2 linked regions of the Nothobranchius furzeri genome follow. Each later gene encodes a partner of the first gene's protein in a complex. Links are inferred from orthologs where the notes say so. Each region holds a gene or a part of one and is shown on either strand. Other genes may lie near its edges.

Region 1 (4,509 bases):
TAATACGGCTTGATTCAGTCTTGTGAAAACTCGGGACAGACTGTCAAACTGACAGATGTTAGACATCATTTTCAACTCTACAGTCCGTTGCAATTTGCAAAGCCTGCTGAACCTTTCCTCTGTAATGTACAGCTATTTGGGCTGATTTAGTAAAGAAGCTCAGAAAGGAACAGACTCCTATTGGGGATGTCTAACAAAACAAGAATAGCAAAAGATACACTCTGACTTTTAACAGTAAGAAATAAAAACAAATTGGCACTTGTATATCTGACACAAGAGGGCAGTAGACATGAAAAGACATGATATGGAAAGTGTTCAGTGAACGTACAAATCCTTATACTCCATCTGGATGCTTTTAGACCAGATGGGGTTTGTTGTGTATTTATAACTGTACTCTACCAGGGGGCATAACCTTAAGCAATGAGCTGTACTGTACATCCTTAGTTTATTGAAGTTTGATGATAACAACTTATCAATGTCATTTTAAAAGCAAAGTCCATTCAAATAGTCCAAAATAACCTGGGTTTCAGCACTTTGTTGATTGCATTCAATGATTTAATTTTATTTATTTATATTTTTTGTTGCATGTATAAGCAAAAACAAATTTGTGTGTAGCTCTGTCGGTGTGTCAACCTACTTGCAACCGAGGAAGACGTGATTTGCCCAGACCATGGACAGAGACAGCAGCCTGTCCAGGCTGCTGCTAGGGACCCCAGGTTTCACCGTGGGGAAAGCCTCCATGTTTCTCAGAATGAACTCCCTCCGAGCCGACCACTGCTTGTTGCTCTCGCAGTAGTCTCGTTGTGTGTCGATCCATTGGGCCAGCTCAGGGTTCTGGCTCAGGTATTCTGAGACATCTGCGCTCATATGCCCCGCCATCCCTGGTGGACAGACAGAGATTTCCAAAACTCGCATTTATGTTGGTTAAACACAAAGATCTGTACAAAGTTACATGTCAACAGGTCAACACAAAGCATGTACTGACTACACTGGCTTACTAATGGTTAATGTTTAAGTTGTTATTGTGTCTGGTTGATTAGCTAGGGTGACTAAATATTTTCATATTACTACGAAGTGACTCAAATTACCTGACAAGTTGAGCCGCGTAACATTAGCTAAACCAAACACCACGCAAAAACCTACAACACTGAGACCAGCCTTTCCACAACAACTAGCGAAATTTTCATTGCCTGTCAAGTCAGTATGGAGCCGTTTGATATAAAAAAAAAAACTACGACATACTAAGCCGTTTCTGTTACGATTCTGCCAGCTAGCTAGCTATTTGTCCAAATATGACGCAAGACCACGACGTAACCGGAAAACTACATTACCCAGAAGACAATTGTGCGCCACAAGTTGTTACGAGTGTTTTACGATTTTAGCATCAACACAGCCACCATTCGCTATTCAAGTGAAACTAACTTGCAGCGCAAAAACACACTGATTTATTTTGTGATAAACAATAAAAACAGACAGCGCAACCCCGTCTACAAAAACGTGACGCAACCAGTGCGTTAAACGTAAGAAACCTGCGACACCGTGACCGGAAGGCGCTGGTTTGTTTTTGTCTGAGTGAGAAGCTTTGCTGTGTTACCTGTTGTCACTAGATGAAAAAACATGATTCACGAGCTGTTGTTGGCGCTGAGTAGATACCCAGGTGCAATCTTCTCATGGAACAAACGAACAGGTCTACAGGTAAAAACTGACTGAGCAATGCCGTTTAAATGCTAGCACTCAGTAGCAAAAGCTTAACCTAGCTATTTACTTCTAAAATTACATTGCTTATCATATGGCTGTGTAATAATTTTTTTCTCACTCTTGGATGCTTTTTATAATTATTTTACCTTGAATATATTTGTTGCTGCACAGTTCTATTGATAAGAGATTTTCAATTAATTTTATTTCAAAACACCATTTACACTCTTGATTCCATTTTCACTTGCGATCAACCAGAGCTAGTTTATTAAAAAAAGATGCCAGTCTTTTCTCAGCGTGACATCATCTTTTAATTTCCTTTCCAGGTGTCCCAGGACCTGCCCTTCCTTCACCCCAGTGAGACCAGTGTCCTGAACCGGCTGTGTAAACTGGGCTCAGATTACATACGCTTCACTGAGTTTATAGAGCAACACACCGGCCATGTTCACCAGCAGGTTATTATCGGTGTCATGAAACGTTTGCATATGATTTAAACTTTTATTGCTCACAGCTTAATTTTTGAGTATCTCCATCAGCACAAATGTACTTTATTAGCTGGTATTTGATCACATCAAATCCAACACAGTTTATATTAAAATACAAAGAAAATATCCTCAACAAAACATGAAATAAATAAAATTTAAATTGAACTTTCCTTCAATTCTTCACGTCATTTAAAATACTTTTCAGTCTTTAATCCAGAACGAAGCCCCCTTTGTTTATACACAATGTATTTTGCAGGAACACCACATGAACCCGCTGAACCAGACGGGACTTCATGGAATTTATTTGCGGGCATTTTGCACTGGTCTGGACTCAATGTTGCAGCCGTACAGACAGGCCCTGCTGGACCTGGAGCAGGAGGTAAAACCATCAAACAGCTAATACCCGGGACTCATTGAACACATAAGAGGAAGCTCATTTGACCTGTGTGTTTGTTTCAGTTCCTGGGAGATCCACACTTGACAATATCTCACGTAAATTACAAGCTTGATGAGGTAATTCTGTAATAAAAGCTTAACAGTTGTTTACTTGATTCAAATCTGTCTAAAGCTGCATTTTTTATTGAAGTTTCAGTTGCTGTTCCCCTCTGTTATGGTGGTGGTGGAGACCATAAAATCACAGAAGGTAAGGAACGCTTAATGCATGAACTTAATAAAATGAAATGTAAACTCATTTTATCCCTCACACAAAAGCTGCTGCTGTTTTCTCACAAATATATGATCAGTCATTCCAATCCGACCCTTTGCACAGTATAAACTCTTCATGTTAGTGGGTTACCTCTGACTTTTGACTGCTCAACAGCATTTTTATTAATGTCAGAGCTAGACTTTCACTTAGATTCTTTTGCAAAATTGTTTTTACATTTAAGGACGTTGTCCTTCTTTAAATTCTTGATTGCTTCTGATAAAATTTCACTCATAGGTGTGACACCATGATTCTGTCACCACCGTGCTTCACTGATGAAATACTCAGAAACAGTTATTTCTTTCTTTCTTTTTTTTATTCAACCAATCAAAACATGTCCGGGTGTTATTTTTTCCCTCTACACGATCTGTATCGCACTGCTAAAAAGCAGACATGCCCCTTTTCTCCTTTTAGACCAAAAATGCTTTTTAATTCTACTCAGAGATCCTTATAAAGAGCTTTAAGATATACTCAGAAGTTTCTCTGGATTCTCCTTTAACATGATAGACTGTTAAGACATTAATCCTGGCTCCTTAATCCCTAATTCTTGGTCAAATTATAAGGGATTTTAGACTTTCCTACAGTTTTGTGCTTTTATTTGAAAGTAGACTTTACAAAATACCCAAAATGTAAACAAAACAATCTCCTTCTAATATTAAATCTGTAACTGAAAGAATCATAAATATAAAAGATAATGCTTTTGTTAAATTATTTTAATTGGACTATAAAGGAAGGTCAGATACCTCCCTCTTGGAAGGAGGCCATTATTTCCTTGATACCTAAGAAAAATAAAGATAGAAAAGACTGTATAAATTATAGGCCAATATCAATTTTGAACATAGATTACAAAATATACACCTCAATTATTGGGAAGCGACTAGAAACCTTTATAACAGATCTAATAGATGAGGACCAGTGTGGGTTTATACCAGGAAGACAAACACAGGACAATATTAGCAGAACTATCCATATATTCCATACAATTAATAGAACATAAAATTAGTTCAGCCTTGATGCCGAAAAGGCATTTGATAGAGTAGATTGGGGTTTCTCTATTAAACTTTGCAAAGATTTGGATTTAATGAAGATGTAGTTAAGATCATTAAGGCATTGTATCAGCACCCCACTGCTAGAATTAAGGTGAACGGCTCTTTGTCAGATCGTTTTGAGCTAAGTAGAGGCACAAGGCAGGGATGCTGTTTAAGTCCCACGCTTTTTGAACTGTATATCGAGCCATTGGCACAAGCAATTCGACAAGAGGAAGGGTTGAAAGGGATCGTAATAGGTGGAAATGAACACAAATTGGCTTGTTCGCGGACGATGTTATGTTATACCTCAGTGAGTTAGATACATCTCTTCCTAGACTTTTGGACTTATTAGAAAGGTTTAATCTTTATTCAGGTTACAAACTTAACATGGCAAAATCACAAGTTATCCACTTCAACTATACACCAGGAGAGGAAATTAGAAATAGATTAAATATCAATTGGAAAACCCAAGTAATAAAATACTTGGGGATAAATTTAACTAAAAAACAGAATTATTATATGAGGCTAACTATTAGGGATGAGCCGGATACTCGTCTGAAACGAGTATCCGGTACGGTTAAAGCATTTTTGACGAATA
Region 2 (3,566 bases), on another chromosome or scaffold:
TCATGACGAGGAGGGCTATTGCTGTTTTAGCGTTCAAGATACAGCAGAGCTAACCGTTAGCATTAGCTACTCAGCCACACAGCAGAAGCTCCTCCAGACTTGTGTTATTTGTGGAGGTAAAACATTAATGTCACAGAGCAAACAGAATCAGTGGTGGTCATGTTGCTGTTATCCAATCAGAGGAGAGATGTCCAAATATCAGGAAATACGACTCCCAAGTCCTGCTGTGTCCCGTGCTGACCCAGGCATGCTGTTAGACGTTAGTGACGTCTGTACAACAGTAAACTATTCTATAAAACTTTTTCCTTTTTGCAGTTTAAGACAATGAATCGTACGGGTCGGGCACATTTGTGACCTTGAATTCCTTTTCCTGCCTCCAGTGAGCTCTCATGCTGTGCCAGAAGGCATCAACGAGGAGAGATTGTGATGCAGATTCTGCTTAAGTCTCTGATAATCACACGGTTTACTTCTCTTCATGTGTTACCACATTATTCTACATTTCTTCTGCTTTAGACCTTAGTTGTCTTGATGAATTAATTATTCACACGCGGCCCCTCCTTCCACGGAGGACCCCGTGGGAGGATTTCATTTCCTGGAAGAACAAAAGCAAGAGTCCAGCTTTGACCTTGGGAGGAGTTGATGTTGGAAGAAAATCGTTGTTTTTCCTGGAAAGAAGGGGCTTACAGTTAGTAAGCCAGTGTTAAAAAAAAGATTTATTAAATATGCTGAAAAAGATTTAATTTAAAAAGAAATGCAGAAAAACTGACTGATGGAACAGAGCTGTGAAAAGCGTTCACCTCGCCCAGATTCTTGTTTTTTCTCCTCTCTTAAGGGTCAACAAATTAATCTCCACGCCAAAGATCGACAAAATGGTTATCCAGGCTAACCTGGCTCTGTTTAAAAGTAACCGACTCCTAAACTTGTTCCAACACTCTTGGCAGCAAAAGCCACAATCCAGAGTTTATGAGAACTGGGAGTCGCTCTCATCGTTTTTATAGAAGTGTATTGTAGAAATGTAGAATGTTATAGACACATTGAAGCATTTTCCAGCATGTTTAAGGTCAAAGGTCAGACTTTCTGCCTAAGAATTTCCTGGAGCAGAAATCATGGTTCCATCAGTTAGCAAGGCAGCCACAGACCATCACACTACCACCACCATACGTTACTGGAAGCAGACCTTCTACAACGTTCCACTCATGTAGCATCATATGGAGTATTTTCCCATCACTCTTGGAAATCACACAGATGTCTTTTGGTAAATGCAGGCATGCCTTTGTTTTCTTTTAAGGATCAGTAGATATTTTGGCCTTGAAACTCTCACTTGGAGGCCATTTAGCTCCGTATCTCTTTATTGTTGGTAAATCATGACCTTAATCATAACCAAGTGCGGTCTTAGATGTTGTTCAGGGATTTTTTCCCCTTTTTAATCTCCTTAGATCAGGCCATGTTCTGTTGGTCTACTTCATGTTGTCAGACAGGCTCTACTGAAGTGATTTCTGAATTCTGCTGGTCTGACAGAAATCAGAATAGTGAAATAAACTCACCTCTCCAAAAATCATCATTAATTACAGTTAATGCGTGATTTAATGAAGAGGACAATTTATATTCTCAAAGATTCAGGTTGTTTGACAGATTTTTACCCACATTTGATCAAATCCTCGTTTTAAAACTGCACTTTGTGTTTACTTAGGTTATCTTTAATATTGAAAAGTGTTTGTTGATCTGAAACATTTGACTTTGACGTCACAAAAATCAACAGAAGAAATCTGTAAGGGGGATACTTCCTCGCAGGACAGTATGTACTCAGCTAAAAACGGTGGTATTTGAGTATAAAGCACTGATATTAATTTCCTCATACAGCCCATAAAAAGCTTTGCTGAGTGTGTTTTTTAGCTTGTACAGGATCACATGCTGAGCTGCTGAGTAATCACTGCTGAATTAACATGCCAGGGCACAGGATGTTCAGTTTCAGACATCATGCTCACCGTTTGACATTCAGACACAAAAGTTGCCGAGTCATTGCCAGCTGGGTGAAGCTGAAGGTGATTTGTTCTCGTTTTATCAGAGAAGTTATAACAAACGGTTTTCATCCAACAGGAAATCGCACGGCTTCTTCGTCCTAACACACTGCGTGCGCTCTATGGCACAGACAACGTAAAAACGGCCGTCCACTGCACGGACCTTCCTGAAGACGGCATTCTAGAGGTTAGTCTCTCACACGCATCATCTGCCCAGCGTTTCGATACGTTTCCATGCTGTCCTACAGTTCGTACGTACACAGCTACCTTCAGCCAAGAACAAAGCCCCCTCACCTCGCCTGTGACGCGGCGTCTTTAGACGGGTCTCATGACTCCAGTGGGCTGGGGCAACCTTACATCACACTGGTTTTCAGGAGATCAAGAATGGCAGAGGAATTTGAAACAAAACCATTGTTTTGCAGGCAGTGGGTCGGACCCGTCCGACGTCATTGTTCAGGAAAACTCCTGATCTGTAGCCTGGACAATTGCTTCCTTGTTGAACATTAGCCTGTGACTAACTAAGCAGCCATGTTCCCAAGACTGGGAACAGACTGACCAACAGAGCCTGTGTAGACCAGAGAAGAGTTAAAGTCACAGCTTCTGCTCTCACACAGCAGGCATGTTTGCTTTAGACATGAGGCATCCACTCTGCTGATGTGTGACCAACTCATTCCTACTCTTCTTCCAGGTGGAGTTTTTCTTCAAGATTTTGGATCGATGAAATCAAGAGAAAGTGTGACTATTGTTCATTCTTCTGTTTATTGTTTCAACCTCTTGCAGACTAAATAAAGAGACAAGAGCAGACTCTCGACAGGTGTTTTGATTTCCAACGTTGTATTAAGATTTTGTTTGCACACAAACTAAACATCGTATTACTACTGCACTGCCTGATGGTTTTAACCAGCGACTTTGGTATTATCATATACATTACACTTTGAAAAAAAATGTACAACTGCATAAATATAAAACTCTTCAACTATGAAAATGGCTAAAACATTCAATAGTTGCATCACACGAAGTGACGTCTCCAGCAAAACAGATTTCAAAGCACTGAGATGCCACTGTTTCCATGGAGGTGACAGTCTTCTTAGGCTGGACCCACAAAGCTTTACACTACGAATTAAAAATGATTAAAAATGAACAAAAATGTCAAACTATCTATTAGCAAAGTAAACGTGTACAAATGGATCTTTCTACAGCCAACCTGAATGTAGAAAGGCACAAACAAAAAGATGGAGCGTGGTTCTTTACTCCTACATGGGTCAGAGTACCATGCCAGTACTTCAGTTAGTCAGAGCACATTGACAAACACTCCATACTCGCATACAATAACATGCCTGCACAGACACGAGTGTGCACACGCACACACACACCTTGGACCACTAAAGCTGACATAAGACAAAGATAACAGGACTAGACTACAACTCTGGGCATTGCAGAAATCTATAGAAACCACGTGGGGATAAAAGACCATGGGGACAGAAGCGAGGCGCTACACATCAGTAGTGAAACTGCAGTTTTACAGTATTAGATGAACATCCCATGGCT

The links.
Region 2: tubgcp4 (region 1) and nme7 share a complex: the UniProt entries of both Homo sapiens proteins name them as parts of the gamma-tubulin ring complex. The link is inferred for Nothobranchius furzeri from reciprocal best matches to the Homo sapiens genes TUBGCP4 and NME7.

What each region holds. Positions count from the first base shown.
Region 1 is NC_091749.1:30,376,763-30,381,271, forward strand, and holds the start of tubgcp4 (gamma-tubulin complex component 4), read left to right. Parts: upstream 1-1,506; 5' UTR 1,507-1,617; coding exon 1,618-1,695; intron 1,696-2,021; coding exon 2,022-2,150; intron 2,151-2,436; coding exon 2,437-2,559; intron 2,560-2,639; coding exon 2,640-2,693; intron 2,694-2,766; coding exon 2,767-2,823; intron 2,824-4,509. Other genes in the region: cdkn2aip (CDKN2A-interacting protein), read right to left, coding at 638-879. UniProt on the Homo sapiens protein: Component of the gamma-tubulin ring complex (gTuRC) which mediates microtubule nucleation.
Region 2 is NC_091756.1:61,680,229-61,683,794, reverse strand, and holds the end of nme7 (nucleoside diphosphate kinase homolog 7), read left to right. Parts: intron 1-2,097; coding exon 2,098-2,205; intron 2,206-2,706; coding exon 2,707-2,739; 3' UTR 2,740-2,825; downstream 2,826-3,566. UniProt on the Homo sapiens protein: Possesses an intrinsic kinase activity. Displays 3'-5' exonuclease activity with a preference for single-stranded DNA. Does not seem to have nucleoside diphosphate kinase activity.